Linked DNA regions of Diceros bicornis minor. The protein of the gene in region 4 binds, or shares a complex with, the protein of the main gene of each other region. Links are inferred from orthologs where the notes say so. Each region holds a gene or a part of one and is shown on either strand. Other genes may lie near its edges. The genes, in order: IQCG, IQCD, TCTE1 and DRC1.

Region 1 (7,558 bases), on a different chromosome or scaffold from region 4:
CCTTCCTGGAACATGCTGTTTCTCCATTTGTCCAAAAGCTTTTCTGAGGCTAGGTTCAAGTGCTCCATCACTATAAGCCTTCCAAGATACTCCTTTCCACTGTCCCCAAAGCTTACTTGTCCCTGTCTCCCACCACCTAAGGCCTTATTAAAATACTTACATCCTATCCTCCTATTGTCTAATGTCTGTAATTGCCATTACATGTAGCTCTCTGGCTTCCTTATACTCTGAAAATGCCTGATAAATTTGAGCACATAGCAACTAAATTTTATGGCAAAGAGATTTTTAAGCCATTTAATAAAAATACAAGGGAACAAATCCAGTTTTATTTATTTACTTTTCAATAAGTTTAAATCCTTGAAGGGTACAGCATCTGGGGGGGGAAAAAGAACACAATGTCATTAGGTGCATGTTACATACAAATTTACAAATGTTATCAATTACTACAATATGGATAAATCTCCTTCCGTTGTCCCATTACTCTTTTAAGATTTTTTATTTTTATTGAGGTAACATTGGTTTATTACATTATATAAACTTCTGCTGTGCATCATTATATTTCAATTTCTCTGTAGATTATATCATATTCGCCACCCAAAGACTAATTACCATCCATCACCATACACATGTGTGAATCACCCATTTCACCCTCCTCCCTTCCCCTTTGGTAGCCATTACTCATTTCTGAAAGGTGTCCAATGACAACTTTTATCCTGGTGGGGAGGGAATTGAGTTTTTATAGCCTCAGTCTCTAGGTAAACCCGCTTTGATTAGGAACAAGTACTGGGAGCAGTGCAAGTCCATTTAATTTTGCTTCTCCTACAGAGTAAAAACCTCCTCTGATGAGAAATCTCAACTGCTCAGCAGGGTTCAAAAGCACCCTGTGACCTCAAGAATACGGCCATGCCTACTCTAAATGAATCCTGACTAAAGAAAACAGGAGCTATTTTAGAAAATCACAGGATCTGGAGTCGAAGACTTGGGCCAAAGTCCTGGGACTGAGAAACATGAGCATCAGTTTTCTTCCATAAAATAAGGCTAATAACACCTATATTATAAATTTATTTTTTTTGTAATGAAGATCAGCCCTAACATCCATGCCAATCCTCGTTTTTTTTTTTTCTCCCTTTTTCTCTCCAAAGCCCCAGTAGATAGTTGTATGTCATAGTTGCACATCCTTCTAGTTGCTGTATGTGGGACACGGCCTCAGCATGGCCGGACAAGCGGTGCGTTAGTGCGCGCCTGGGATCCGAACCCAGGCGGCCAGTAGCGGAGCGTGCGCGCTCAACTGCTAAGCCACGGGGTCGGCCCCCAATAACACCTATTTTAACAAGACTGTCATGATTAAGCAATAGGAAAATATTAAGAATTATGCCAGGAAAACGTATGTTGAATTTTTATTTTCTAGAAAATACTTCAGTGCCCAATATCTTTGCCAGAAAACTGTTCATTTAAATGATCCCCCCCCCCCCCCCCCCGAAGCAGCTTTAACAAAATCTGAAATCTAGGCACAATCCATTTGAATACTTTGCCTTCACTTTCTTTCTAATGCCAAAAAGCTGAAGTAGCCACTAATTTTGCAGCATAACCTACAGGCGATGTTTTATAATCACAATAGTTCTTAGAGTGAAAGCCCAACCCCTTGAGCTTAGTTTGACTCAACAGAGTGCCATACTGCTAATAACTGTACTTACCACACGGATTCTGTGTCCAATCGCCTTAGCAGGAAGGTTGCTTCGGAATTTGGCACGAACCATGCCACTGTTTCCATGAGCACGAGTTACCTTTCCCCAGATTACTCTGGTTTTGTTAGGTTTGCCACCAGGAGTCACTGTGTTGCTTATTTTAAAAGGGGATTAAAAAAAAAAAAAAAGCATGAGAACCCAGGCAACAATGTGATAGAAATTCAAGGTGATCTCTAGACCAGTGGCTCTCAACCCTAGTTAACCACTTAGTCATGGGGGGTGGGGGGGGCAGGAGGAGTAGGGAATGGGGGGAATCTGGGGCATAATTTATTCAACAAATCTTTGAGTACCTACTGTATGCCAAACACTTATAAATGTAATTTTTTGTAATTTTGTAAAACACAGCCATTTACAAAACATAAACCTCTTCCAGAGAATAATCAAGTAATAAATCAGTAAATATATACAATGTCACATGGTAATAGCTACAATATTGGGGGGAAAAAAGCAAAGTGGGACAAGAAGCGTGAGAATGTTTGTGTCCAGGGAGAGGAAGGAATTTGCAATTTTAAACAGCCAGAGAAGTCCTCATTGAGAAGCTAACACTGGAACAAAGACTAGAAGATAAGGCAACAGCCTGTGTTAAAAACCTGAGGAGGTTGTGTCCCTGGCTTGTGGAAAGGCAGAAGACCCCAAGGGTGAATCCTAGCTGATCACCCTAGCTGGGTTAAGAGTAGAAACAGGGAGCCCTGAATGCCCAGGGTCTTAGGGGCTCCTTAACGACTTTGGCTTTTACTAAATGAGATGGCTAACAGTTGGGAGGAGTTTGAGCAATATACAGATGATCTGACTTATAATTTTCAAGGCTCACTCTGCTTGCAGGAGGAAAGGCAGGGCAAAGATGAAAGCCTGTCCCTAGAGATTTTAATTGGTCTGGAATGGGTTTAAGAACCCAGGATTAAGAACCAATGCTCTAGAGAGAGAACATGTTTAACCATGTATATATAACATAATTTCAAGGAATCAACAAAATGAATTAAGGCACATGGAAAGTGCCCTATAAAAACTTAGGATCATAATATGAGAACTTGGCTCCGTCCTTGAAACAATTAACAGCTGGAATTTTTCTAAGCGCAGAAGATACCTAAATCCACCACCACCCACAAAAGTTACATCCTTCTAAAACCTACCATCAGGTTCCTTCAAGACCCAAAGTAGAAGCTACAACAGTACCAACCACTTTACCAACATCTTTTGTTTATTCTTCTTTCAAAATGAAAATGAGACAAAAATCAAAAAGCATAACAATACTATAAACTTACTTCTTTGCTTTGTACACGTAAGCACATCTCTTGCCCAGATAGAATTCAGTTTCATCTCGAGCATAAACACCTTCAATTTTAAGAAGGGCTGTGTGCTCCCTCTGGTTCCGGAGACCCCGCTTATAGCCAGCAAAAATGGCCTTCGACCACAGCCTACGACACACAAGACATATATTAACCATAAGCTGTTAAAAGATCTCGTTTAACTTCAACAAACCACCAGTATGATTTGACTTGTAACGACACCTACCCAAAAGTTATCTATACCAAACATCGAATTTTTTCCCCACTAGTTTTAAGTTTACATTTAGGTTCATACCCAATAAACAAAAAACAACTACAAGTACAAAGCAATTATATTTAAAACGCGTACCTTCCAGACATACTCGTCGTTTTAGAAGTCCTGTCTCCGGCAGGCCTTAAAACAAACAATCAGTTTAAAATCTTGCAGCGCCCGTTTCCCACCTAGTCCCTCCCGTTTCTTAAACCTGTCAGGCAAATCGCTTTTTGATCAGCATGTCACGTTAAGACTATGGGGAAATATAATTAAGCCATCACATCTACACGAAGCACAGTATGGCAAGACACCCCAACCTCAGAGAATGCATGATACCTAGGCAAACTCCAAAACGGAGACAAAAATGATTGTCAACACCCGACACTAAAAGAAATAACTCTTACAAACTCCAAAAGGAAGCCCTAAGAAAATTCATGCCACGATCAGTAGAAAAAAATGAAGGCCAAGGAGTCACAGAAGCACGCAGAAAACAAGACTTTTAAGCACTGAATGGGAAAATAAACCTGAGGAGAGAGACTGTAGACAAGTAAGACAAGCTTGGAGTAGGAGCAAATGGAAACAGAACCCAGCCTAAAGGAGTCACAGCCTCAAAAAACGAGCTAGACGGACAAAGTGCATCTACTTCACTCCGCTAGGGTCCAGGAAGCAACTCCGATTACCGGAGCACCCGTTCTCCGGGCGTCAGGAGACCAGCACCATCAGCCCCACATCTCCTCCATCCTGTCCTCTCTGTTGCTGGAATCCACAGAAATCACTGACTGGCAGAGCCCCCGAGCCGCAGCAGTACCTCGCTCAGGCATAAAGTTGAGCCCATCCCAGTTATTTTCCCCCAAAGTTCAGCAACAGCAGACGCCCTCACCTCCACAGCCTCCAAGATGGCGGAAAAAGAAAGTGGAGGCCCCGTCGCGCGGCCTTGTGGGATAAACATGGGTCCGCCCCCAGTTTAGGCATCTTCCGCGACCGCCGGGGGTGGGGGGGGGGGGAAGGCCTCGGAAATCGTCTTCTGACTGAAACAAGCAATGTTAAAGAGCACTTTTAAAATTATTTCCCTAAGTCCTTTTATCTTTGTAAGCTGCAACATGTATTACTTCGGAACAGAGGAAGGCAAAGTGCTAGACAGCTAAAGGATAAGAAAAGGTGATCGTTGCCATAGAAACACCTTAGTTTGGTTCCTGTGCGTCGGGTTCTGTAGGTGGGTAAGTGAAGCCAGAGTGGCGGCCCCCCCTCGGCCTCGAGTACCCCAGATTTGATTCGCCAACATGGGGGTATCTTTCCCTCTGACCACACAGGTAAAGGCCAACGGAGATTCTCGGATCCCAGCCTGGAAGAGAAAGGCCGAGAGCACGAAGGCAGGAGGAGCTGTTCCTTTTCTTTACCTTTTTTTTTTTTTCTTACTCCTTTCCTCCTACTCCTTTATCTCTTCCAAGAAATGACTTAAGTTCTTACCTCCATCCTTCGTTTTGCCCCCGATGGTGAGGAGGACTGCCCTGAAAAGACTTTACTGCCTTTTAAAGATAACTCATTCAGCTGCCAGGCAAACTCTCGGGGCCCCCAGCACCGTGCCCACACGTAGTAGGTCTTCAGTAAGTACTTGTAGACTAGAATAAGATAGATCAGTAGACATCAGAGATTTACGTTTCCTAATTATTGCATATTTATTTGGGTTACCCTTTGGATTCATTCATTTTTTCAACAAATAGTTTATTGAATGACTGCCATGTACCATCTTTGTTCCTGGCTCGGAGGACGCTGCAGTAAACAAAACAACAGAAATCTCTGCCCTCATAGAGCTTACATCTTAGTAGGGGGAGCAAGACAATAAGCAAGTAAATGGCACATTGGAAGGAGATGTGAGACAAATTTTCTCAATGGAGAAAAATTAAGCAGGGAGGCCACTGTAAGGGAGGCTTTTACTCTGAGACGAGAAGCCATTTGAGGGTTCTGTACAGAGGAGTGACTGAGTCACTGTGTTGAGACTGAAGGGAAGCAAGGCCAACAGCAGGGAGACCAATTAGAAGGCTATTATAATGATCCTGATGAGAGATTATGGCATGTAGAGAGGGGTGATGAGTACTGAAATTCTGAATATATTTTAAGTGTAATGCTGACAGGATTTGCTGATGGGTAAGGAATGAGAGAGGAAAGAGTAAAGGATGACTCCAAAGTTTTGTGGAATAGATGTATATAAATCATATTTAAAATCAGATCCTCTTTTAAGTGCATCAGGATAGAGATTATCTACCTTAGAGCCCTATCCCCTATCCAATTTTCTCTGTCCCAGAAATATGCTAGAAATCCCACTATTAGAGATGTACTAGAAATCCCACTGTTAAATGTGCTAGAAATCCAAGTGTAAGTACTCCTGAGAAGAATAACACATTAAGTGTGAGTTTCATTCCTTTGTTCATTCATTCATTCGACAAATACTTATTGAACACAATGCCTGAAACTTAGGATACAATAGTGAGCATCATTATCAGGATTCCAGCTGTCATGGAACTTAACAGTCTAGTGGGGGAAACTGACATAAACATTACAAATTGTGAAGAGAGCTGTTGAAAAATAAGAGTGCAATGAGTGCTTGAACAGAGGAATCCTGATCCAGCCTGATGAGTCAGGAAAATGTCACTTGCAGAAGTGTCATTTAAGGCATTTTACAAACTGCAGGTGATGGCCCATTAGTAGATCATGATTATAATATTTTTTAAGTAAAATATGCTAGAACTGAAAATATCAGAATGTATCACACATGTTAAGGGTAAGTTGTTTCATGAAACTTTTGTTTCAGTTATTTGTATGTATGTATATTTATATATAAGCTATATGTAAAAATGTATGTGTGCCATTGTAGGTCATTGTATCAGTCAGTGTTGGCCTGGAAGGAAACAGTTGGCAGAGATGAAAATTTACTAAAGAGTCTGCTTACAAAGGTGTAGGCAGGAGTGAAACTATGAGAGATGATGCAGTCTCCAGAAACATGTGGAAGAAGAAGTTTCCTGAGTCCCCAAGAGACAGCAAGATGGAGAGGATTGCCTGATGGGAGCCATGGTCTTTGATAGAGAAATATAGCCGACCATTGGTGATCTGACAGGGAGGGAGCTGGGAGAATAAATACCTATCCTCACTCTCCTACACTTTGTACCTCTTTCCGGAATCTCCCGTTGGTGCACTCCATTTGGGTCAGTCTCTCAGGGCACAGAAAATGGTGGAGATTGGACCTAGAGGGGCAAATGGCAGATACCTGCAAAATGCCACTGATTTAATCTGGTACCTAATAGATCAGTGGGACTTTACAAGGTGAAAAGGTGAGGGGAAGAGTGGTTCACGTTGAAGGAATAGTGTAAGCAAAGACCCTGAGTTGGAAGGGAACATGGTTCCATAGAAGAAGTGAAAGAAGCCTATTGAGGCTGGAGCCATGAGAGCAAGAAAAAGGCAGTGCCAGAGGGATCTGGAGAGAAACAGAGGGGGCCAGATCATGTAGGCCTTATGGGCCATGTTCAGAATTTTAGTTTTTGTCCTAAGGCAAGGGGAAACCATTTAAGGGTTCTAAGGAGAGACATGATCAGATTTTCAATTTTAAAAGATCAGTCTTTCATTTATTTTTTATTTTTTAATTTTTTTTTTTGGTGAGGAAGATTGGCCCTGAGCTAATGTCTGTGCCAGTCTTCCTCCATTTTGTATGTGGGACACCTCCATAGCATGGCTTGATGAGCGGTGTGTAGGTCTGCGCCTGGGATCCGGGCCTGCGAACCCCTGGCCACCAAAGCAGAGCAAGCGAACTTAACCACTACACCACGCCAGATCAGATTTTCATTTTTAAAAGATCACCTCCAATTTGGAGCCTGTTAGAGTAGTTCAAGCACGAAACAACAGCAAGTCCATCATGGTGTTGGGGGATATGGAAATAGAAGGTCAGGTCCACAGGACTTGGTGATGGTTTGGATTGGGGGAATGCTGATCAAGATGAAGGAGGAAGCAGGAATGACCCCTGGGTTTCTAGCATTGAGGAACGAGAAGCCAGAACAGCATGAAAGCACTGGATACTGCGTAAGCATTGCCCTGTCTTACCTCTGGGAAGCACATTTACCTATGCCCCAAGCCTAAAAAATGCAAAAATAAAGAAACGACAACACAGCAAGAGAACAAAATCTTCTTAACACCGCGCTACTTCCTCCTAAGACTCCTAAGACAGAAAATTTGGCTAGTTTGGAGTATCTTTTTTTCAGTTTACGTAAAGATTATGTTTTATATGC
Region 2 (7,174 bases), on a different chromosome or scaffold from region 4:
CGTTCTGCCAGCAACACATTTAAAATTTTAAAAATTTAAAGCTCGCAACCTCTCTTGGGTTCCCTTTGTGCTAGGCTTTGGTTTAGAGGAAGACAAAGCAAAACCCCAAACCCTCAAATCAATGGATCCTGGCAAAGGCTTGCCCCTTTCCACCCCATTCTGGCAACGCAGGCACCAAGCTCCAACGGAAAGCAGCAGTCAACTCCACTCTCCTGCCAACGGTTTCAGGTTGGGGCAGACGGAGGCGGGTGTTGAAATCGGTTTCCTTTTTTAACAAGGAACTGGGCAGGGAAGTTCCTGGGCAAGGAACCTAGCCTGGGAGCAGGTTAACCTGAAGTCCCCGCCAAGCATCCCCGAACAAAGCCAGGGTACTCAGGTGCCAGGGAGGCAAGGCGCTGATGGGAGCGAGGGCCCCGGGAGGGCAGAGCAGCCCCCGGAAGCATCCAGAAGCTGGGATTAGGACCCCACAGTCTCCCAGTAGTTTGTGAGAACCTGGAGCCAAATGTGGGGTCAGGAATTAGGGTACACACATCTACTATCAGACCACCACGCCCACAACTCGCCCCTTGAAATAGAAAAGTTGCCCCCCACCAGCCCACCCCACGTCTTACTTCTGCTGGGCAGCTCCTCTCGGCCCAGGCTGTTGGACGGAGCCAGTGGGGCACTGCCACCCTCGTCCAGGGTCAGGATGAGGGGCACGTCGTCATCCAAACTCACAGCCATATGCTCTCTTCTCCTACAGCCCTCAGGATGCGATGTCCAGGGCTTCAAACAGCCTCTGCTTGGAGCTCCCTTTCAAAGCCACTGGCCCAGAGGTGCTTCTCAGAAACTCCTCCATTAGAGACATCTTCTAGACAATAAAAGATAGACAGGGATAAAGAGAGAGATACAGATGAAAAAGAAAGAGAGACAATTATCAGAATACAACCACTACTGATGAAAATGTTCTGGAATTAGATGGTGGCAATGGTTGCATAACCTTGTGAATATACTAAAGACCACTGAATTGCACCCTTTAAAATGGTGGATTTTATGATATGTGAATTATATCTCAAAAAAATAAAGAAAAATATTGCAATACAATAGCATTAAAATATGGGGAAAAACTCTGCACGAACAAAATCTGAAAGTTAGGGGTAATTATGTCTGGAGCTTCAGATTCTGGCTATGTTCCCCCTCCACCCACCTTACACTGGTGTTTTGAGTTTTGTAAAGATTTGAGACTTAAAAAAATACAACTGTTAAAATAATAGTAGCTAATACTCAGTGAGCACTTACTGTGTACCAGGTATTCTTACAGCAATTTTTAAGTAAAGCTGATTGAAACTTTATTAATAGACAGGTAGGATTATTATCCTCCATTACAGAGGGGGAGGAGACTTTAGGCTCAGAGAAGTTAAGTAACTTGCCCAAGAACCCACAGCTATAAAGTCAGGCTTTGAACTATGCAATCTGACTCCAGACCCGAGCTCCTAGCCACTACACTAGGATTCCTCCAAGTCCTAGCCCTGGCGTTCAGGCAGCACCTCGCCCCAATGACCCGTAAAGAGGCAGGGTGCCAGGTCATCTATGCTCGCCCACAGCCTTCTCATACAGGTGTTATTCTCCTCGATTTAGAAGCTTGAGGAGGGCCGGCCGTGGCTTAGCGGTTAAGTGCGCGCACTCTACTGCTGGCGGCCCGGGTTCGGATCCCGGGCGCGCACAGATGCACCGCTTCTCCGGCCATGCTGAGGCCGCGTCCCACGTGCAGCAACTGGAAGGATGTGCAGCTGTGACATACAACTATCTACTGGGGCTTTGGGGGGAAAAAATAAATAAATAAAAATCTTTAGAAGTTTGAGGAGGAGGGCGAAGAGAACAAGAGTGTTTTTTTAAATGATGTCCAGAGTCACACAGCAAAAGCGCTCATCCTGAACTCTCAACTGAAAACGCTCAGAACTAGGCAGTTACAGGTCCTATTTATACACATTCCCATTTCCGCTGAGGAGGGCCAAAAGAAAAGCAAAGACTCAGCAGATCTGATAGCAGACCTTTGACCTTGAAAACAGCAGCAGATTCCTTCCTCCAGCTGGACCCTTCTGGGCTTAGTCAACTTTGCCTCCCAACTCGCCCACTGAATGGCCACCTGGAAATTGACCTCTTCCACAAATCATCAGAATAACCCCAAGCAGACCCCTGTGCATCAACATCCTCTCAAAACAAGGTAGCAAAAGTGAGCACCATTCCCTTTACTGCTAAGCCTGCAGCTCTCAGCCCCGCAAACTTCCTGTGAGATTTTTTAACATTTCCTCCAGATCTGGGGACCTATTCTGCTTTTAAATCTCAGTTGTGGGGAGACAGAAGAGGAAACCCCAAATGAGACACTACCATTAGACTGTCTTAAGAATTACGTGTTTTGGGGCTTTTTTTTTTTTCTTGGTTTAACGTTCTACCACAGGTATTTTCAAACATACTCAGAAGTAGAGAGAATATGTAAATGAATTTCTTTGTATCCATCACTCAGCTTTGACAATTATCAATATCTTTGTCATTCTTTCTCGAATTTATTTTGAGGACAGGAGACTCTATTAACCGTCTGAACTCAAGAAGAGGTTTCTGATCATTATCATCATAACGGCTAGTGGCTTTCATTTTAACTGTTTAATATATAACTGCTTGTATGCATTGTCTTGGCCCTGTGGCTCTCAACTGGGGTGATTTTGTACTCTGGGAGACACTAGCAACATATGGAGACATTTTTGATTGTCACAACTTGGGGGTGGGGGGGTTAGAGGGAGAGGCCAGGAACCCAGCTGAACATCCTACAATGCACAGGTGAGTCCCACCACAACACAGAAACATGTGGCTGAGAACGTCAGTAGTGCTGCTGTTCAGAAATCCTATTTCATTAATATCCCCACTTTACAGATGAGGAAGCTGAGGCTTGGAGGAGATAACTCAACTTGCCTCTTGTAGGTAAACAGCAGGGAAGTGGTGGAGACCAGAGTCGAATCCGAACAGATGAATTCAGGGACCTTTCCCGGCTGGACCCTATACCGCCTCCCAGGAACAGGCTCCCAATTTGAATTCAAGCCCATCGTGTTACAGAGAGGGAAAAGTGAGGCCCAGAGGGGACAAGCCACTTGACCAAGGTCACACAGTGCAGGACTCCTGAGTCCCAGCCCCGTGTTCCTTCCGCGGGCTTTGCTTCTGGCTCTCTAGAGGACCCAGAAGGGAAGGGTCACCCCTGGGGACACGTCCCAGGAAAGAGGGCCAGCAGCCTGACCGGGGCACGAGTCTCTGGCGGGCTGGGTCGCCTGAGGGCGCCAGGAAGAGGAGCAGACGAGGGAGGAGGAGCGGGGAGAGAAGTGCGGGCTCCGGCTCCACGTGCTCCAGCCCCGGTCTGGGCCCCGCGTGGGGGTCGCCCCGGGAAGCCAGGGGGCGAGCAGAGGGGGTACAAAGCCCGGGCCCGGGCTGGAGGGAGAGAAGCCCAGCGATGACTTCCCCGCAGCCCCTCTGGGCCCGCCCAGCCCGCCTCCCACACCCCAGCGCCCAGCCGCAACCCCTTACTCCGCGCCCTCTGGCCCCTGACCCCTGCCCTCTCAGGCAGCCCAGCCCCCGTCCCACTCGGATTCTTACACGCGCCGCCCCAGCAACCCGGACCGCGCGCCAGGGTCCGCACCGCGCAGCCCAGCCCGCCGGCGCCGCCGCCGCCGCCAAAGCCGCGAGCCCGGAGCTCTTGCAGCCGCCGCCGTTTCAGCCGCTGCCACCACAGCAGCTGCGCCAGCTCTCGCGTCCACCTCCTACCGTCCCCTCAACTCCAGCGGCCCCGCCCCATTTCCCCTCCGCCACGGCCTATTGGCTACCTAGGCTGCCATGGTGAACTCTGATTGGCCAAGCCTCACGTCCTTCTCCAGTTCTCGCCCGCTGCCGAGGCAGGACTCCCTACCCGCCTCCTTGTAAAGGGGCGGGACAAAGAAGCCCCGCCCCTTCCCCTTCTGCGCTCCCCGCCTTACTCGTTCGGCCCAACCCAGAGGGCGTCCCGGGTCTTTCAATTGGTGGAGGGTCAGAGAGACGGTGCTCCTGATTGGTCAGGCCTCAGGAGGTGGGGCTAACTGGGCGGAACAAGGAATTGAATGGTGAAGAGGAAAGTCAGTCAGACGCCGAGTCCCGCCTTCCGAGGTGGGTAACCTAGCAACGCAGGTACCGCGGAGGTAACTGTGGGTAGAGAAACCAGGAGCTCTGCGAGCAGGTGAGTGACCAGGTGGGGAAGGGCTAGAGATGACGGGGAGATGTGGAATGGGGTCTACCCGCTATCCTTTGGCTCCCTGAAGAATCCGTAGCCCGCAAGGCGATCCTGTCCCCGCCCCAGGACCGTGCTCTCCAGCCCCTGCCTCTGTCTGGACCTCCCCCTCGACCGCCTGCGAGGACCACTGGACACCCTCTTCGGTGTCTCTGCCTCTCGCCTGCCCGTCCGCGTGTCCACTGCATGGTCCCGCTTCCTCGTCCGTAAAACGTGGGTGATACTAGTCAGATGGAGTCGCATCATAGTTAACTAATTTCAAGTCAAACATAGGTGGTGGGGGTGAGAGGGTAGTTTATAAGCCCCCTACCACTCTACCCAACGGCCAGACATTCTAGCATGAGCGTGCAGTGAAAGGCATCTCACTTGAGTGAGTGTTAAAGTTAGGTCATTTTGATTATACCAATTTTTGCCTTTAGAGTTTAACTCCCACCCTTGTCCTTAAAATGTGATTTTGTTGCACATACTTAAGACAAAGGGTTTGTTGTGAGGACTGAATGAGGTAAGGCAATGGAGAGCTTGGCATGGAGCCCAGCAACATAGTAAGTGCTCATTTAATAGTAGCAATTTTTTTCTAAAACTCACCCATCTTTGACTCTTCTGGCTTAAAACAATTCCAAGGGAGTTATCGTATTCCATATCTTACATATTCATATATTCAACAAGTATTTACTGAGTGCCTACTACTGGGTGCAAGGGTAGAGCAACCAATAAAAAACTTTATTTCTCCCCCCCATGGAGTTTGTCTAATGTGGGAGAGAGTCATTAGTCAAATAATATACAGATAAATGTAAAGTGACACCTGTGGAGATTCACTTCCAGAATGATGGAATGAGGAGGTTGACAAATCTTTTCCTCAAAAAGCAATTATAGTCCATCGATGGATGAATGGATAACTAAAATGTGGTATACGTACAATGGTATATTATTCAACTTTTAAAAGGAATGAAATTCTGATAAATGCTACAACATGGATGAACCTTGAAGACATATGCTGAGTGAAAGAAACCAGACACAAAAGTCATAGAGACAGAAAGTAGAATAGTGGTTGACAGGGGCTGGGGGGAGGGGGAAATGGAGAGTTAGTGTTTAATGGGTACAGAGTTTCAGTTTGGGATGATGAGAAAGTTCTGGAGATGGACAGTGGTGATGGTTGCACAAGATGCGAATGTAATGTTAATGCCACTGCACTGTACACCTAAAATGGTTACAATGGTAAACTTTATATGATGTATATTTTACCACAATAAAGAAAAAGCAACTATGAAGCTGAACAAAACTATCTAGCGCTATATTAGCACTCTGAAAATCAACCAAAGGCATACAACAAACAGAGCATTTATTCGTGAAAACTTCTGAGCCTTAAGTTTGTGATGCACTTACCTGGGGCTTCTCCAGTTTCCCCACCCCCAGTTCTATTTGCATAATAGTTCAACCAGGGCGAGTAGCCCATGAAAACCAGTCTGATGGGGCTCACTTGATTTGGAGCATTGTTGGCTAAACTGGCAGTCTTGGTGGCAAGAGATCAGGGAGAGCCAGCAGCTCCAGAAGTCCAAAGTTGCAGTCCTACTTGGGGACAACAGTGGCCTGACAGCTTAGAATCCTGGGAAGTGAGGCAGCCATAGGGGGCTTGATAAGCTCTCTACATATTCTGGTTGGCCAGGGCTTATGCACATGTGTAGTAGAGACTAGACCAGCCCAGGCCACTTACACATCCCTGGCCAGTGGAGCCTGTGTAGACGAGCAGAGGAGACACAGGGGGGTCCGGCAGAAACTAAGAGTCAAGGCAGACTTGAAAATGACCTGAACATTGACTGCACTCACCAGCAGAGAACAGAAGCCTTACTAGCTCAAAGTGTTAGAGCACAACCTCTGACCAATTTTTGGCTGAATATTAAGCTATGCAGATACAGGGGCGACCCCTAGGAAGCCAGGTTTAGAAATAAAAATGAGAAAAAAAATTGAACAGAGACATCAGTAACCGCACGTTGTGGAGGAGACCAACTCGACAGATTTAGTCCGGGAAGTAACTTAACAAACACCCAAGCAAAACAGTAACAAGGACGACAATCATTAGGAAGAAAAAAAGTTGAAATACAGAGTTGCTACAAATTTTATCTAAAATTTTCAGTAGTCAACAAAAATTGTGAGATGTGCAAAGAAACAAAGAAATGTAAATATCCTCAGGGAAAAAAGCAATCAATAGAAACTGTCTCTGTGTGTCCCCAGATGTCGGCTTTAGCAGACAAAGACTTCAAAGCAGCTATTATAAATACATTCAAAGAACTAAAGGAAACCATGTTTAAAGAATTAAAAAACAGTAGGATAACAATGACTCATCAAATAGAAAATATTTAGTGTTATTCTAAAATAGATTGTGATAATTAAGATGCACATTATAATCCCTAAATCAACCACTAAGAGAATAACTCAAAAAAATAGTTTAAAGATCAACAGAGGAATCAAAACAGTGGGCTAAAAAATATTTATTTAACACAATAAAAGGCAGTAAAGAAGTAACAGGGGAACAAAAAAAGACATGAAATGAGACAAATAAACAACAATAGCAAAATGGCAGATGTAAATCCAACCATATGAATAATTTTATGTAAGTTATTAAGTGTAAATGGAAAAAAACACTTCAATCAAAAGGCAGAGATTGTCAGACCAGATTAAAAAAGCAAGACCCAAATATATGCTTCCTGTAAGAGACACACCTTAGATTCAAAGACACAACTAAGTTGAAAGTAAAAAATTGAGGGGCCAGCCCCATGGCATAGTGGTTAAGTTTGGTGTGCTCCGCTTCAGCAGCCTGGGTTTGCAGGTTCGGATCCCAGGAGCAGACGTACTCCACTCATCAGCCATGCCATGGCGGTGACCCACATATAAAGT
Region 3 (7,257 bases), on a different chromosome or scaffold from region 4:
GTAGGTTGACATCAGGCTTAGGGCTGTGTTAAGGAGCGCAGTGGAGCCTGGAAGCTTCCTGCCTGGTGCCAGGTGTCAGCCTTGTTTACATCCTGGAGAAAGGTGCAAGGTGCCACTCCCCAGGGACACCCTCGCCCACGGCTCTCCTGCAGGGCCTGGGGTCAACAGAAGGCCTCAGGGGAGTTCCAGTAACTCCAGCGGGTCCTTTCCACCCTCATCTTCCAGAGGAGACTGACTACTGATGCTTTTCCTGTTTTGTCTTTCATTCACACCTCCCACCCCCATTTCCACACAAAAGGTACCAAGAAGAAACAGCACTCCAGTCTAGGAGCCCTGCCGGGGTCCCCCACTCCTCACTTTCCCCCACAAAAGCCCATCCATACCTAAAGGTCCGCCAAGAGCACAAAGCATGCCCCAGGGCCACAGAGTTCCACTGCCACACGGCGGCCCCACATAGCGCGTTAGATGGAAACTTCCTTGCGTCAACCCTGTGCCAAAGCGCCTAGCGACAACCGTCGAAGGAGAGCCCCGCGTGTTTGCACGCCACACAGCTGAGACGCGGGCGCACGCGCGGGCGTACACGCGCACGTGCACAGCGGCCCTCGGCCCCGCCCCCTGGCGACGCGGGGCGTCCCTAACGACCGGGAGGCCGCGCGGGGCCTGCGGGAAGGCGAGCGCCCTGGCACTGGGAGCGGGTGAGACAACTCCGGGAGAGAGGACGCTCAACCCCGGGTCTCCCCTGGGACTGACCTCTCCCTGCCCCCACTCCTGGCCGCGGGGCGCGGAAGCCCCTCCGGCGCCATCAGCCCACCCGGCCCTCAGCCCGCAGGGGCCACAGCCTGGGCTCCCACATTCGTGTGGCGAGGAAGGGCCGGTCTGTACCTCCAGGAGGCTCCCACCCCACCCATTTGAGGAGGGACCCGGGCCCCCCAGCGCCCTCCCCCGCTACCGTCACTGTCTGGAAAGTGGTGCAGAGGCTTAGGGTTTGCGAGTAAAGGGAGGGGGACCGTGAGAAGGAGGAAGGGGAAGGTCGTGGAGGAGAGCAGTCCTAAACTGGGGGTCGCAGTCTCCTAAGAAAGGCTGACCCCCATCCCTAGCTCCTCGGGCTGCAATTCCTCCTGCAGGTCCGGAAGCCCCCGCACCTTCCCTCCCTCCCACAGCAGGGAGGTGCAGCCTTGGTAACCGAGGTGCAGCCAGGGCTACTTCACCACAGGTGGGCTGGGGGAAGGACTCGCCTTTGGAGCTGAGCTTCCCTGCTGGGGGGGTCCAAGCCGAAGGTAGGGGTGAGGGGTGGAGAGGGAAGCCGCTGGAGTCCCTTCTAAGACAACAGACCTAAGTGGGCAGGAGTTGGGAGGAGGGCCAGGCCCATGGGTGTGATAAGTGTGCTGACTGTCCCACTGGGTTCAAGACCAGCATGCTGGGCCTGGGATCTGTCAGAGAAACTTTTTGCCCCTCTTTTGTGACTCCACAAACTGGGAATTCCCAAATGGGAATTTGGGAGTGACTTGGCCTGAGGTAATGTCTGACATGGTGGGCGTGAAAGAGATCAGAGGAGATGTAGACAAAAGCCCCCGGCCCTGGGACAGACGCCTGGGGAGGGCTTTCCTTAGGTCATTTTGGGGTGAAGAAGAAGCTGGCTGAGAAGGCAAAGGAAGCTCAATCAGAGAGGTGGGTGGACAGCAGGCTGGGGGGTAGCCCATCAAAGCTGAGCCAGCCCAGAGGGAAGTACCCAGGGACACAGAGGTGCTCACGGCCTCAAGAGAGCCAGGCGCTTCAGCTTCTCAGTTAAGAGGAAGGGAGGTGAGGACAGTTGAGGGCCAGGGATGTGGTGAGCAGGAAGGGGAGAGGGCTCCTCCCCAGCATCTTCAACCTTTCCATTTGGGCAGATGAGAGGAGCCTCTGTCCAAAGTGGTTAGATTTAACTGGAGACTTGAGAAGGGTGGAGAAGATCTGAGACCTCCTCTGAGAGGAGGGAATGTGCTAGAGATTCAAGCACTGACTCCTAGGTCTGTGACAGCATGGGGGGCCTGGCATGAGCCATGCATGGGGCAAGAGAGCACAGCTCTGCAGTATTCTCTTGGGTCCCCATGGGGCCTCCAGTCAAAGGATACAGGCGATGATCCAGTTCTGCGGAAGGACCCCGCACCTGGCAGTGACTGAGGGGGACTCTGGGCTGTTTAGGTCAGCACAAAGGGGTAACCCTGGGCTCCACGATGGTGATGTGACGAGCGTGCTCATGAGCTGGAGAAAGTGGGAGGCCCACTGGAGAGGTGCGGTCCGACCGAGTCAGGGGCAATTTAGGAAGAAACCTTAACATCTTATTATTTGTCCATGCTTTTGTGATGGAAGTAAGGGAGAGCATTGGACAGTCATCAGCTCAAACCTCAGCTTCTCCGCTCACTAGCTATGTGGCTCTTAGCAAGTGACTTAAGCTTTCTAAGCCTCTGTTTCCTCATTCATGAAATGGGGATAATAGTGTTATAACAGTAATAATCCTCAATAATAAATCTGAAGATTTAATGAACTTTCGTAGGTAAGGCATCTAACATCTTCACGTAGTTTGCATGCTGGCTCTGGGCCCAGCACTATATGAAATGTCTCACACACACATTAGCTCCTTTAATCCTCTGGATAATCTTATGAAGTAGGGACCATTATTTACCATCCCCATTTTACAGATGAAGAAACGGAGGCTTAGTGGGATGAAATGACTCGGCCACAGTCTCACAGATGCTTGGGGGCAGAGTGGAGAGTTGACCTTAGGTGGTATAACTCCTGATTCCTTAGTGAGCTGCTCCGCTGCCTCCTGCTGTGCACACACTATTGAGGGCCTAGAACTCAATAAATTGTAGCTGTATATAGGCAAGGGTATGGTTCCCAGAATACTTGCCCCCAGACACAGGCCATCAAAAATGAAGACAACCCTGGCCAAACTGGGTCTTCCCGTAACTTTATATGACCTGTGCTTGGGCATGTAGAGAGCAGACCTTAACACCTAACCCTTTGAGTTATGGCCTGAATGTGATTATGGCCTGGGCCTGAAGACACAGAGTGGGGACCTGGGGGAAGGAGGATTGGCCTTTCCCAGGGATCGCGGTCCTGGATTGGGTTAGGTTGATGCTGGAAACATAGCATGTGAAGCCCAGCAGGCCCGTGAGACAGATGCCCGGAGATGAAAGGTCACTGGGCACATGCCCACTTTCCCCATCTGAGGGCAGGCTGTGCCCTTCGATGGGGACACCAGGTGGTGGCCCAAGAGGCACTCACTCCTCATGGCCCGGACCTTCTCTCTGGAATGTCACAGAGGATTCCTGCCCTGGAGAAGGACCAGAGTCTTGAACACACTTCCAGTCTTCAGACTCTGGGATTCTCTGACTGCCTCATGGGTTCCCCAGGGAGAGGGCTCCAGAAAGGAAGGTGACTGCTCTGCCATTTCTGGGGCTGCCCTCTAAGGGCCCTTGGGGGCTGTCTGGGTGCCCCTGGGCCCCTGGCTACCCTCCCCACAGGCTTCCAGGGAAGATAGTGCCACCTACCACCACCCTCAGCTGCAGACTGGTGATGCCCAGGCCAGACTGAGGCCACCCTGGGAAGCAGGTGGAGTTATCTCAGGTCTCTTGCCTCCTCATCCTCCTGCAGGCCCTCCCCACCTTCTCCCCACTCAGTGGTACATTCTCCTTGCCCCCTTCCTAACTCTGCTTATTGGATCTGAAACTCATTTACACTGAGGTGTGGATGACTGATGAGAGGGGATATATATATATAAAATTTCTGTACACTTAAACTGTCAAAGAATAATATATATCATGACTTCTACGTTTTTTTAAAGTTTGCTACATTAGTGTCAGTATATATTTCATAATTTACTCTGCTTTTGTTTGACCTAAAATGATGAGATGCATTTTTAAAAAGCAGTTCGAAGTTAACATGGATATATCCACAGACACATGTATGTAATGTTAAGATTTCGTTTCTTTTAGGGGGGAATGTATTTTAATGTAACAGGGATGAAAGCCTTATGTTAGGAGCTCTGCTTCCCAGGGAGCAGGAACGTGCTTTCTTCTTTTCTAGTGGAGGGTGGGAAAGTGTGGGGAGGGGGACACACGGGCGACTGGGAGGAGCAGTGCACTGTGGTTGGAGGCAGGACACTGCCCTCAGGCCCTCGCCCAGCCCTCCTGCGTGTCCTAGGCCAGTCATTTCCTGGTCTGGTCCTCAGTTTCTCCATCCCTGCCTCCACTGTAGAGTGGTTGTAAGGCTCAAATGAGAAGAGTTCTGAAAGGAGCTTGTGACTGTTAAGTGCTGAGCACACGTAAGTGCTGAGCACACGTAAGTGCTGATACTGTCCGAAGGCTGGAGAGATGGGAGGGGAGACAGGAGGCTCAGGGTGGTCAGGAGAGGGAGAGGCCACAGGAGTGAGGTGTCAGGCCCTGTGTATAATGACCTGGGCCTTTGGCCCTTTTCGGCCAACCCATTGAACTATTTTGTCTACTGATTTAAGACTTTTCCCGTAATTTCATTCACCAAACTTTGAGCCTACCCAAATGGTCAGGGCCCTTTGGTCACAAAGGGACAGAAACCCAAGTCTTAGCTTCAGCAAAAGGGACTTGTTAGAAGGCTGCCAAGTTAGGTCTGAGAACCGAAGGAGCCGCTGAGGAAGCAGGCAGTTCTGGGGGCCTTGGGGACTGAAGGTACCCGGGAGTTCTCTCTGTCTCCACCAGGCTTCACTCCCTCCTGCTGCAGACAGGCCTTTTCCCTGTGAAGGAATATAGCTTCCCGAGGCAGGGGATCCATATCCTTCAAGGACATATGTCCTTCTGTCTTCCTCCGCTTGGACAAATCCCAAGAAGGACTGTTTGGTTTGCATCAGGCGGCCACCCCTGGACCACTCGCTCTGACCAACACAGGATACTCCTATTGGCCAGAATCTATTATGAGAACGGGCTGGGGCAGCTCAAAACACCAGCTACCTCACCTGAAGCAGACCTGACGCTGGGCTTAGAGGGATTAGAGATAGAGATGAGTAAGAAACAGCCCCTGCCCCTTGAGAGCTCACAGTCCAGTGTGGGTGTGGGGAGAGGGTGGTCAATCGGATCACTGAAGTGACCCAGGTCCTGGGGGTCTGACCAAAGGAGGGGTTGTTTGGGGGACGGGGGACGAGAAGGGCTGAAAGGCTTCAGAGAGGAAGTGATGCTTGAGCTCAGACTCAAAAGACCAATGATGGTCCCTTTCCCAGGCTGAGATGGTAGGAAAGGCATTCCAGGCAGAGGGAGCAGCTTGAGCAAAGGCTGGGCAACATGAGCCAGAGGCAGTGTTCCAGAAGCAAAGAGGAGTTTATTTCAAACAGAGCATCACGTCAGGGAGGACCTTCTACAGTGAGTTGAAGAAGCTGGGCTGTACCCAGTGGGCGCTGGTGAGCCACCGAAGAGCTCGCACGGTGGCCTGCCGTGGCCGCTGTGGGAAGGCTAGATGTGAGAGGACCACACTGGATGACAGACCCAGGTGCTGGACAGCTGAAGCTCCGATCCAGGCAGACAATGAGGCCCTGAGCTAAGGCAGCAGCAGGAAGGGAGAGGAGGGCCTGCTGGGGTGGGAGGCAGAACGGAGGGGATCCAACAGTAACCAGATGGGGGGGTCTGAAGGAGAGCGGTGATGCCCCAACTTCTGTTTCAGGCACCCGGAAGCATCCTGATGCCCCTGGCCAAGGTAAGGCGCCAGGAGGAGGAGCAGCTTGGGGATGCACTGAGTTCTTTTGGGGGGCAGACTGAGTTTGAGGGAGCCGGGATGCATGCCAGTGGAGCTGAGTCTGGAACTCAGAGGGGAGGTGAGAGCTGCAACCCATCAACAGGAGTGAGGCGGGGCTTCCCAACAGAACCCTGAGGGACCACAACTGGAGCCGGGAGGCCAGAGCGAGAGGATCCTGCGATGCAGACTTTTTGAGAATGATGGGAGAGGCAGGAGGAGAGCCGAGAGAGGGGCAGCAGTTGAGAAGGGCAGGGGGCAGGCTCATAACCGGGCCACACTTGACATCATCTTTATAACGTTAGCAACAGGGGGGCAAGGAGTTCATCTTACTCATTATCCTTTTAAATATATTTTGTTTGATGTTTTATTAGTTTTTCAAAAAAGATGTTTTTAAAAAAACATTTGGAACTAAAATCCTCCTTAGAAGAATCCTCTGTGTCTAGTAATAATTTGCTTGCCAAAAATATTTTTGTAATATCTATTTTTAAAAAATCAAGAAGTAATTAAGTGAAACTATCAACTCTGACATTAGGAGGTTAACGGTTTCAACATTTCCCTGACAAGTGACGTCAGGCCTCGTGGTATGGAGGTTTCCGTGAACACTGCAGGACGGAAGGGACTCTTTTTTATGCCAGTCATGCGCCATGCACGTGGAGCACACGGAGGGATGCTCTGCCCTGCATTCTGAGGAGGTGGCTCAGGGCCCTGGAACCTACCCTGGGGCGGGTCCTGCAATGTCCTACCCAGAGGCAGGCTGCCAGCTCCCAACAGCAGCAACAGCTGCTCTCAGGAAGAGAAGCCAGGTCCTAAGACTGTGAAGCATTCATTAGGCAGTGAGACCAGGGCCACACGGTTCCAGAGAGCATCCGCCTGTCCCCAGGTGGGGTTTCCCAACATGTGGCCTCCCAGGAGGAAGGAGAGGGACCACCTACCAGGATGGTAAGGCTGGGCACTATTGTGAGAAAGGCCTGGAGAGCCGGCTCCAGGGCAGCACCGGCCAGTAACCTGGGGCCCCCCTGCCAAGCTGGGTTCTGCTCCCTTGGGTGTGGCCCGCAAGGTGACTTAGGATGCATCTGGGACCAAGGGGAATGCTCGAATGTTTTAGGTCAGAACTTGGAGGGAGCCCCGGGAGCCCAGATACGGAGCTGGCAGGAGCAGGGCTGGCCTGCTGCCTCTTTGCTCTTTCTCTTGCCCAGACTATCAGGCCCCTCTGTCCTTCTCTCCAGACCCAAACACCACCGCTGCCACCTTGCCCTTCACATCTCCCCGAGAGCTAGGGAAGGGCCTCGCTCACAGATACCATCTCAGGTCCGCGTGCAAGGAGCAGGTCTCCAGGGTGTCTTCTCCCCAGCCTAAGACCCCTGTGCTTCATCCTCCACACACCCACTCCAGTATTCTTTTCAGATATTTTCTGCACAACAGCCTGCATAGGAGGCTTATCCTATTTTATCCTATTTTACAGATAAGGAAACTGAAGCTCAGATAGGTTAAGTAACTTGGTCAAGGTCACACAGCATG
Region 4 (7,673 bases):
TGCAGAAAAGAGACATGACATAAACAACAAGAGCCCAGTTATTGAAAACACAGAGAAACCGAACTTGAGTTATTTCAATTCTATCATTCTATATGCAACTCGTTCTCTAAACCTTGCAGAATTCATTCTTTTGGAAACATTTCTTCATATGATTTCTTCCTTTTTTTCCCAAAAATACATTAATGTAATTTAAAAGTATTGATCCATTAGCTTTTTCTTGTTTTGTACTGTAAATTTTATTTTAAAAAATTTTATTGGCATGGTTATATAAACAAAGTTCAATAAACTTTTCTTTTCAGGCTATTATTATTATCTGTACTTTAAAAATTACCTGCTCCAGGTGTTAACTTCATTAGGTACACCACTGCATCTCACAGATTTGTTTTTTCACCAGCATCAATTGGCCATTCTAACCCCATCTTCATATGACAGAGATGACCCTTTGTCAATGTTTCCTCTGCTATCAACTTCTAAATGCTGGGCTTTTTCGGGGCTTGGTCACGAACTCTCTTCTCATCTCTTTTTATCCTCTTTCTCAGTGTAATTTAATTCAGTCCCATGGTTTTAAATACAATCATAAGGCTGCTGACTCTTTGCACTAATATCTCTAATGCAGAATTCTCTTCTGCATTTAAGACCCATATCCAGCTGCCTATCGGACATCTCAATTTTAATGTCTTACAAAATCCAACTTTGCTTAATATGTTCAAAACCAAACTCTTGATTTCCAATTCCAGCCTCACTACCCCCATCACTGTCTTTACCCTCTCAACGAAAGGCACTACCATCTACCTAAATGCTCAAGCCATTCTTGCTTTTTCCCTGTCTTTTACCAGCATATCCAATCAATCAGTAAATCCAGTCAATTTCAACTCCAAAATATGTCTTGAGTACATCTGTTTTCTCTCCAAACCCACTGCCACTAACTAGCCCAGACCAACTTCATCTCTCACCTGGACCAATGCAACTGCTTCCTAACTAGTCTCCTTACTTTCACTTCTGGCTCCTCCAAACCATTCCCCAAAGAGCCACCAGAGTGATCTCAACATACATAGAAATTTAAGAAACTCCCACATTAGGTCCTTGGTCTGTAGGTAAGAGCTATCATGGTGTGGAAGGCAAAATGGGCCCCTCCGAAACTGCATTTGAGTGCATAAAATAACAATATCGCAGACCAGGGGGATGGTGGGGATTAGTGTCACCCTTAAAGATCTCAAGGATGCAGGAGTGGTGGTGCCTATCAAGTCTGCATTTAATTCACAGGTCTGGCCCCTGCAAAAACTGCATAGATCTGAGAAAATTATCGTCAATTACTGCAAGCTCAACCAAGTAGCAGTCCTGATGGCAGCTGCCTTGCAAGTGCCATGCAGCCTTTACTAGAGCAGATCGGTGTGGCCTTAGGTGCATGGAACGTGGCCACTCATTGACCAAATGCATTATTTTCTACCTCAATCAGGAAAAAGGATCAGGAAGTTCCCATTTACATGGAACAGATAATAATATATACTCACATAGCCCTCACACTCACAAGGCCATGTTAATTCTCCCGATCTCTGTCAAAATATAGTCTGAACAGATCAGGACCATCTGGACATTCCACAGAATGTCACAGTGATCCATTACATCAGGGTTGGCAAACAACAGCATGTGGACCAAATCTGACCCACCTGTTTTGTATGGCTTACAGGTGAGGATTTTTACATTTTTAAACGGTTTTTTAAAAAGATCAAGATGAATAAGCAGAGCACAGAGGATTTTAGGGCAGTGAAACTATTCTGTATGATACTACAATGGTGGATACATGTCATTATATATTTGCCAAAATTCAGAGAACACCGACAGTGAACCATGATATAAACTATGGACTTTGGGTGATAATGATGTGTTAATGCAGATTCATCAATTGTAACAAATGTACCACTCTGGTAGGGGATGTTGATAGTGAGGGACATTAAGCATGTGTGGGGGCAGGAGGTACATGGGAAATCTCTGTACTTTACCTTTAATTTTTCTGTCGAACCTAAAATTGCTCTAAAAAAATGAAGTTTATTAATGTAGAAACAAAATCGAAATATGAAGAATATTTTGTGACACGTGAACATTACATGAAATTCAAATTTCAGTGTCCATGAGGAAAGTTTTGTTGGAATACTGCCATGCCACTTTGGGCCCCTTGTGTCCGATGGCCAGCAGACAAGAAGAGAAGTCCCATCTTGGCAGCGCAGCTGACCCTGACCAGCAGGACAAGGTATAAGTGCTGTTACACAGTGAGAGTGTTAAGGAATTCAGGGGATCACGCAGTGTCTCTTGGTACCCCATTATGACAGCCCACTGTGTCTGCGAATGGACAAGGGCAGCAACTCTTGCCTGAGAAGGGTATGGTTATCAGTCTCAGACCCTTTGGGAATGAGGGTTTGTGTCCACAAGCAGATAAGCCACTGAGACCAGCAGAAGTGGTAGCTGAGGTCCACTGGATACATACTTGTGGAAGGGAGGCAGGCTGGGAAGGAAGGAGGAAAGACAGACCCCTGAGGGCTAGTGGTGGATCTCCTGCATCTTCGGTGGATTGCCCACAGTGTCTGGCACGGCGGGCTCTCAATAAAAGTGCAGACGGGATTATTATTTCCGTCTTTGACTTTACTAGTGTGTTGAACATTCTAATATCCCATACTTTACTTGAACCCTCTGGAAGAAATGTTTTCCATTTCATCAATCAACAAAGCCCGCTCACATTTGGGGCACGCCGAGCCCTCCCACAGGGGCGCCCGCCCCGGGAAGCCATGCCCTCATGCCCCGCACTGCGTCACCGGCACTCCAGGCGCTCCGCGGTCGGACCGCCCAGACCCCGCTCACCGCCTCCGAGCTTCCAGGCGCGCCGCGATGCGGAGGCGCCGGGCCTGGATCCGCTCCTGAGGGTTATCAGAGTGTATCGAGGGCCCGAGAATCGGGGTCGATAAGTGTTCCTCCTCCTTCTCCTCCAGCACCCCCAGCGATCCCGGCGGATTCATAGCGGATGCCTCCCGCCCCCCAGGCAGCCCCGCCCCACCACCGCCAGACCGCAGCCCCGTTGGTAGCAACAAGCCGTTGCCAGGGAAGAGCAGTCACGTGACCCGCAGCTGCAGTGATTGCGCGCGCAGCTCAGGCCCCGCCCACCGGCATTCCGAACGCTGTAGCGCAGATTCGGGTTTCGTTCTCTTCTGCAGTTGGGATGTAAGTACCGTCTTGAGCCCCCACCAAGGCCCAGTCGTATTAGCGGAGCCTGGAAGACTGAAGAGCTGGACCAAGTGTAGTTCATCACTTACTCACCCCGATTATTAATTCACCATTCATTCATCAAATGAATATTCCTCAAAATCATATTCATCAAATATAATTGAGCACCTACTCTGTGCCAAACTGTGCTAGAGCTGAGGATACAAGCGTTGTCCTTTCCTCATGGAGGGTGCAGAATAATAGGTCTACTCTGAGCCTATTGCCTCTTCAGATACTTTGAACTAAAGTATATTGTATACATCTATTCGTCATCCATTCATTTTTGAGCTACTTTGTGCATTGAGCCCCTATCTTTTCTAGAATGTGCAACCACTATCATTAAATTTATATCCAGCAAGGGATTGTTGTCTTCTGTAGCCATTTTCAGTAGGGCTGAAACCTAGGAGAATCCCACCATCACCACTTCCAATCACACGCTTATACACAGAGGAAAATAGTGAGGGCGGGGATGGGCGGTGGGGTACAAATGAAAGTTAAGAGCGCAGAAGCACAATTAAACTCTCAAAGAAGCACCATCCCTTGAAAAAGCACTATATCCTGGGCGTTTTTTGTGTCTCATTGCCAACAAAAAAGTGTTCTTATTGAAAATTAAAACCCTTTCAAAAACAAACTGGATAACGTTTGACGGAGTCTTGTCACACTGTCCTGTGGGAAACTCGGGAAAGGGCGCTGGAGCAGTGAGAAAATGCAGGTAGTAGTCCTAGACCTGCCCTGCAACCTCAGGTAAGTCGCAACTTCTTGAGGACCATTTTCTCAACTGTTATATGGTACCATCTGCCTACTCAACTCACATGCAATTGTGAGGCCAAAGAAGATAAGCTCTTTGTGAATAAGACCTACCCAGAGTCAAATGGAGTACTTTTTTTTTTAATTAATTTTTCCAAGTCTTCAAGTGGTAGAGAGATTTAGGAGTGCCAAAATCTTGCAGCAGCCGAGTCCAACAGCTGCCTGGATCCTTGTCCCATATCTAGCCCAGGGTGGGGGAGGGGATGTTTGCTTCAGGGTCCTCTGCCAAATCTCTCTCTTCTGGCTGTAACCTCAAGCGTTAAACTTCCCTAGGGGCCATGGAATCAGAGGAGCAAGGTATAGTTTTGACCTCGAACTCTTCAAGGTTCTGGTCTGTGTTTCTACCATCTGTGAGAAGAGAAACAAATACACGTGTGTGTGCATGTCTATGGCTGGGAGCAGGATACCCTGAAAGTCAGTGGGAACCAGCTGTTACACCACAGATAGGTGAGAGAGCAGGGGTGCCACAAAACCCATGAAAAGTGATCAATGAGATACTCGGCCTTAGAGCTGTCCCCAGATACCTTCATTCCAGACATCTTTTGTAATGAATCTGACTCTTTTTTTTTTGCTGTTTGATTGTTGACAGCTTTTAAGCCTCACGCCTTTCTTCCTCTCTGCTCCAGATCCCGGCAGCTGATTAAAAGAAAGGAGGGAGGGGGCCTGGGTGCTCTCTACTTTGGCGCTGGCAGGAGGTTCCAACTGTGTGAGCTGGGTCCTCTCATCCCAGCCCCCACCGCCTAACCACAATGAAAGCCTCAAGACAGTCTCCTTTCCTGGCTCTCTCCAGCCATCTTCCAATCAGCTGGGACGTCTTCCTTGCTGTCACAGACAGCCTCAATTATGTAAGTAATAAAGCTTATTCATAGGTGTGGAAAAAAAGACACTCTCATTCACTGCTGGAAAGGCGTCTTTTAGGAGGACAGTTTGCCAATATCTGTTAACAGTTTAAATAAGCATATGCACTGACTAGGCAATTCTACTTATAAGAATTATCCTTGAGAGATAATAGGTCTAGGCTATAGCTCCATGGGGTCAAAATGACATCAGTTTTAGTCAGTACTGTATGTTCAGCACCTAGCCCAATACCTGATATGTAGTGAGTGCTCAACAAACATTTGCTGAATGCAAGAAATGGACACAAATGTATCGGTATGCTCACGGCAGTTATTACCCAGTTATTAAAAATTTATTTTATTAAATTTTTATTAATATTTATATTTATTTACAATAATTTGTATTAATTAATCAAATTTATTATCGTTATTAAAAAACTGGATATAACCCAAAATCCATCAACAACAGAACTGATAAAGCATTCATAGGATGAAAAACAATGCAGTCACAAAGAATGAATCTGACCTAGAAAGACATCCAAGATCTATTAAATGAGGAAGGAAAGATGCAGCACAAAGTGTAGAGTATGATCCCAGTTTTATTTGAAGTATATGTAGTATGTACACAAGAAAAACAGGGAAAGAACACAAAGTAGTTGATCTCTCTAGGGGTTGGGTCTATGGGTGGTTTTCATTCTCTATTCAAAAAAAAAAGTTTACAAAGAACACAAATCACTTTTGATGTAATAAAAAATAAAGTTTATTTATTCATTTATTATTTTTTTAAAGAGCAGTGACAGATCCTGAAGAGACTGCAGCAAGCAAGAGTAGTAGGGCTGTCACGGATGAGAGGAATTCGGGGAGGGATGTCGCTGAGGATTCACTAGCCTTCAGAGACTAGTCCTCATGTGGCAGGCAATTCTCCAAAAGCAGACCTGCTTTTGAGAATTGACTTATGCTAATACACTCATGAAAGAAAAATATATAGAGAATACACTAATTTGAGCAAGAAACTACAACTGACACACAGAGCATATGTGTTTTATGACTGTGACCAGCACATCTCCATGGCTGATCTACAAGGGACTCAAACTATAATTGGGAAGCTTCTTGATAATGGACAACAGACTGTGACAGACTCAGTGGCCTACAATGGGTATAACTTGCCACAAAGATTAGACAGGTCAAGTCCTTGAGGCATGGCACCCCCATGCCTCGGTAAGTTTTGGGTGATACATGCAAAACCTCCTGGCTATAGGGGCTTCCTTTGCTATGCTACAGGCTGGCCATCTACTTCAGCTTACAGTCTTTTTCCAGAAAAATAATGATACATTGGTTGGATTTTAGCATGCTACGTCAAGTCGCACACTTAATTCTACATCCATAAGGTTACATCAAATCACCTTAATTGGGGTTTGAGGATTCATCAAATATTTACATAATTTCTTGGTTTATTCCTATCTCCTAATGTGTGTGAATTTTACTAATAGATTCTCAGAAGGCAATCTTATTTTATTCTAGTTATTTTTAGAACTGCCTCACCATCATCTTCCTGTATTGCCTACAAAAGGTATGAAGGAAGGAACAGAGAAGGGAGGAGGAAGGAGGAAGGCAAGTCATGAGCAGGTCATAAGGCTGAGGAAAAAGTTCAAAGGTAAAAAACTGAGAACTAGGTATTACTAGAAACCGAGCACCTAGCTTAGACTACTCCTGTGCTGAACACTCTACATGCATTCTTCATAACACATAATTGTAGTAATATTCCTAATCCAATTTTACAGATGAGGAAACTGAGGCTTAGAGAAAATAAGTCACTTGCCCTGGGTCAAAGCTTGCAAAGTTGAACATGACTAGGAAATAGTCATTATAGTAAAGCTTTGGGAGGTCTTGAAAAACTTTCAGAAGAAAAGCAAGAAGAAAAATGGAAGAAGCAGTTATAAAGTTTTCTTTCAGAAAATTTGGAACAGAAGAAACAAGATGAGAGCAGGGAGAGAAGCAAGACACTTTGGGGCACAGGGTCTAAGTTTAATAGACCCAAGTGTGGTCACCTAGTACGCACCTGCAGGGTGTCAGGTAGGCGTGTGAGGTCTGCAGAGAAGGGAGGAACAACTGCCAGGGCAGCCAAGGGGTGGGCAGGGGATTAGGAATGGCCCGCCAAGAACTAGCTTGGGTTAAATATGGGACATTTCCTCCTCCACCTTCTTCAAACCTGTTACAATTTTTTTAAATGTCCACTGCCAGAACTGGGAGATCAATTCCGATGTAAAAAATAAGAAATATTCTCCTCGGAAGCAATGTTAGAAAATCAGAGTTTTTATAAGAGCTTATGGTTTACATACTGTAGTTTTGGTGTATTAAGTGTGGGTTAGTAGGTTCTTGTAGAATTAGCCTGGAAAATGAACTCTTTCTATGGGAAAATGTTTCTTGAGTATGAAACAACCACCTTACAAACTATTTAAGTGTGATCCAGTTATTATGACCCAGTATTATTACATATTGCCAGGACCAGTTCTGGGGGAGTTCGGAGCAGTATATTATGAATAGCTGTTACTGCCGCCTGCCTAGTACCCTGCTTTCTGAAACAAATCACAGGACTATGGAACACCCAGGAGCAAGCAGGCTGATCTTTATCTTAAACAAAACAAAAAAAAATCCTTTAATTGTTTTGCTCTAAAATAATCAATGATTCTCTGAGACAAGTGGCTGGATGTTAATTTTCTCCCCATAGGTCCCTCCCCTTTTGCACCTACCAAGGAAAAACAAAGACGACAATCCGAA

The links.
Region 1: DRC1 (region 4) and IQCG share a complex: the UniProt entries of both Homo sapiens proteins name them as parts of the nexin-dynein regulatory complex. The link is inferred for Diceros bicornis minor from reciprocal best matches to the Homo sapiens genes DRC1 and DRC9.
Region 2: DRC1 (region 4) and IQCD share a complex: the UniProt entries of both Homo sapiens proteins name them as parts of the nexin-dynein regulatory complex. The link is inferred for Diceros bicornis minor from reciprocal best matches to the Homo sapiens genes DRC1 and DRC10.
Region 3: DRC1 (region 4) and TCTE1 share a complex: the UniProt entries of both Homo sapiens proteins name them as parts of the nexin-dynein regulatory complex. The link is inferred for Diceros bicornis minor from reciprocal best matches to the Homo sapiens genes DRC1 and DRC5.

Annotation. Positions count from the first base shown.
Region 1 is NC_080754.1:26,646,708-26,654,265, forward strand, and holds the start of IQCG (dynein regulatory complex protein 9), read left to right. Parts: upstream 1-4,543; 5' UTR 4,544-4,594; intron 4,595-6,925; exon of another isoform or gene 6,926-7,352; intron 7,353-7,558. Other genes in the region: RPL35A (large ribosomal subunit protein eL33), read right to left, coding at 350-373, 1,695-1,839, 3,008-3,160, 3,381-3,391. UniProt on the Homo sapiens protein: Component of the nexin-dynein regulatory complex (N-DRC), a key regulator of ciliary/flagellar motility which maintains the alignment and integrity of the distal axoneme and regulates microtubule sliding in motile axonemes.
Region 2 is NC_080774.1:11,198,111-11,205,284, reverse strand, and holds the start of IQCD (dynein regulatory complex protein 10), read left to right. Parts: upstream 1-4,172; 5' UTR 4,173-4,231; intron 4,232-7,174. Other genes in the region: TPCN1 (two pore channel protein 1), read right to left, coding at 612-723. UniProt on the Homo sapiens protein: Component of the nexin-dynein regulatory complex (N-DRC), a key regulator of ciliary/flagellar motility which maintains the alignment and integrity of the distal axoneme and regulates microtubule sliding in motile axonemes.
Region 3 is NC_080753.1:21,572,228-21,579,484, forward strand, and holds the start of TCTE1 (dynein regulatory complex subunit 5), read left to right. Parts: upstream 1-4,236; 5' UTR 4,237-4,306; intron 4,307-7,257. UniProt on the Homo sapiens protein: Component of the nexin-dynein regulatory complex (N-DRC) a key regulator of ciliary/flagellar motility which maintains the alignment and integrity of the distal axoneme and regulates microtubule sliding in motile axonemes.
Region 4 is NC_080751.1:56,337,503-56,345,175, forward strand, and holds the start of DRC1 (dynein regulatory complex protein 1), read right to left. Parts: upstream 3,009-7,673; coding exon 2,854-3,008; intron 1-2,853. UniProt on the Homo sapiens protein: Component of the nexin-dynein regulatory complex (N-DRC) a key regulator of ciliary/flagellar motility which maintains the alignment and integrity of the distal axoneme and regulates microtubule sliding in motile axonemes.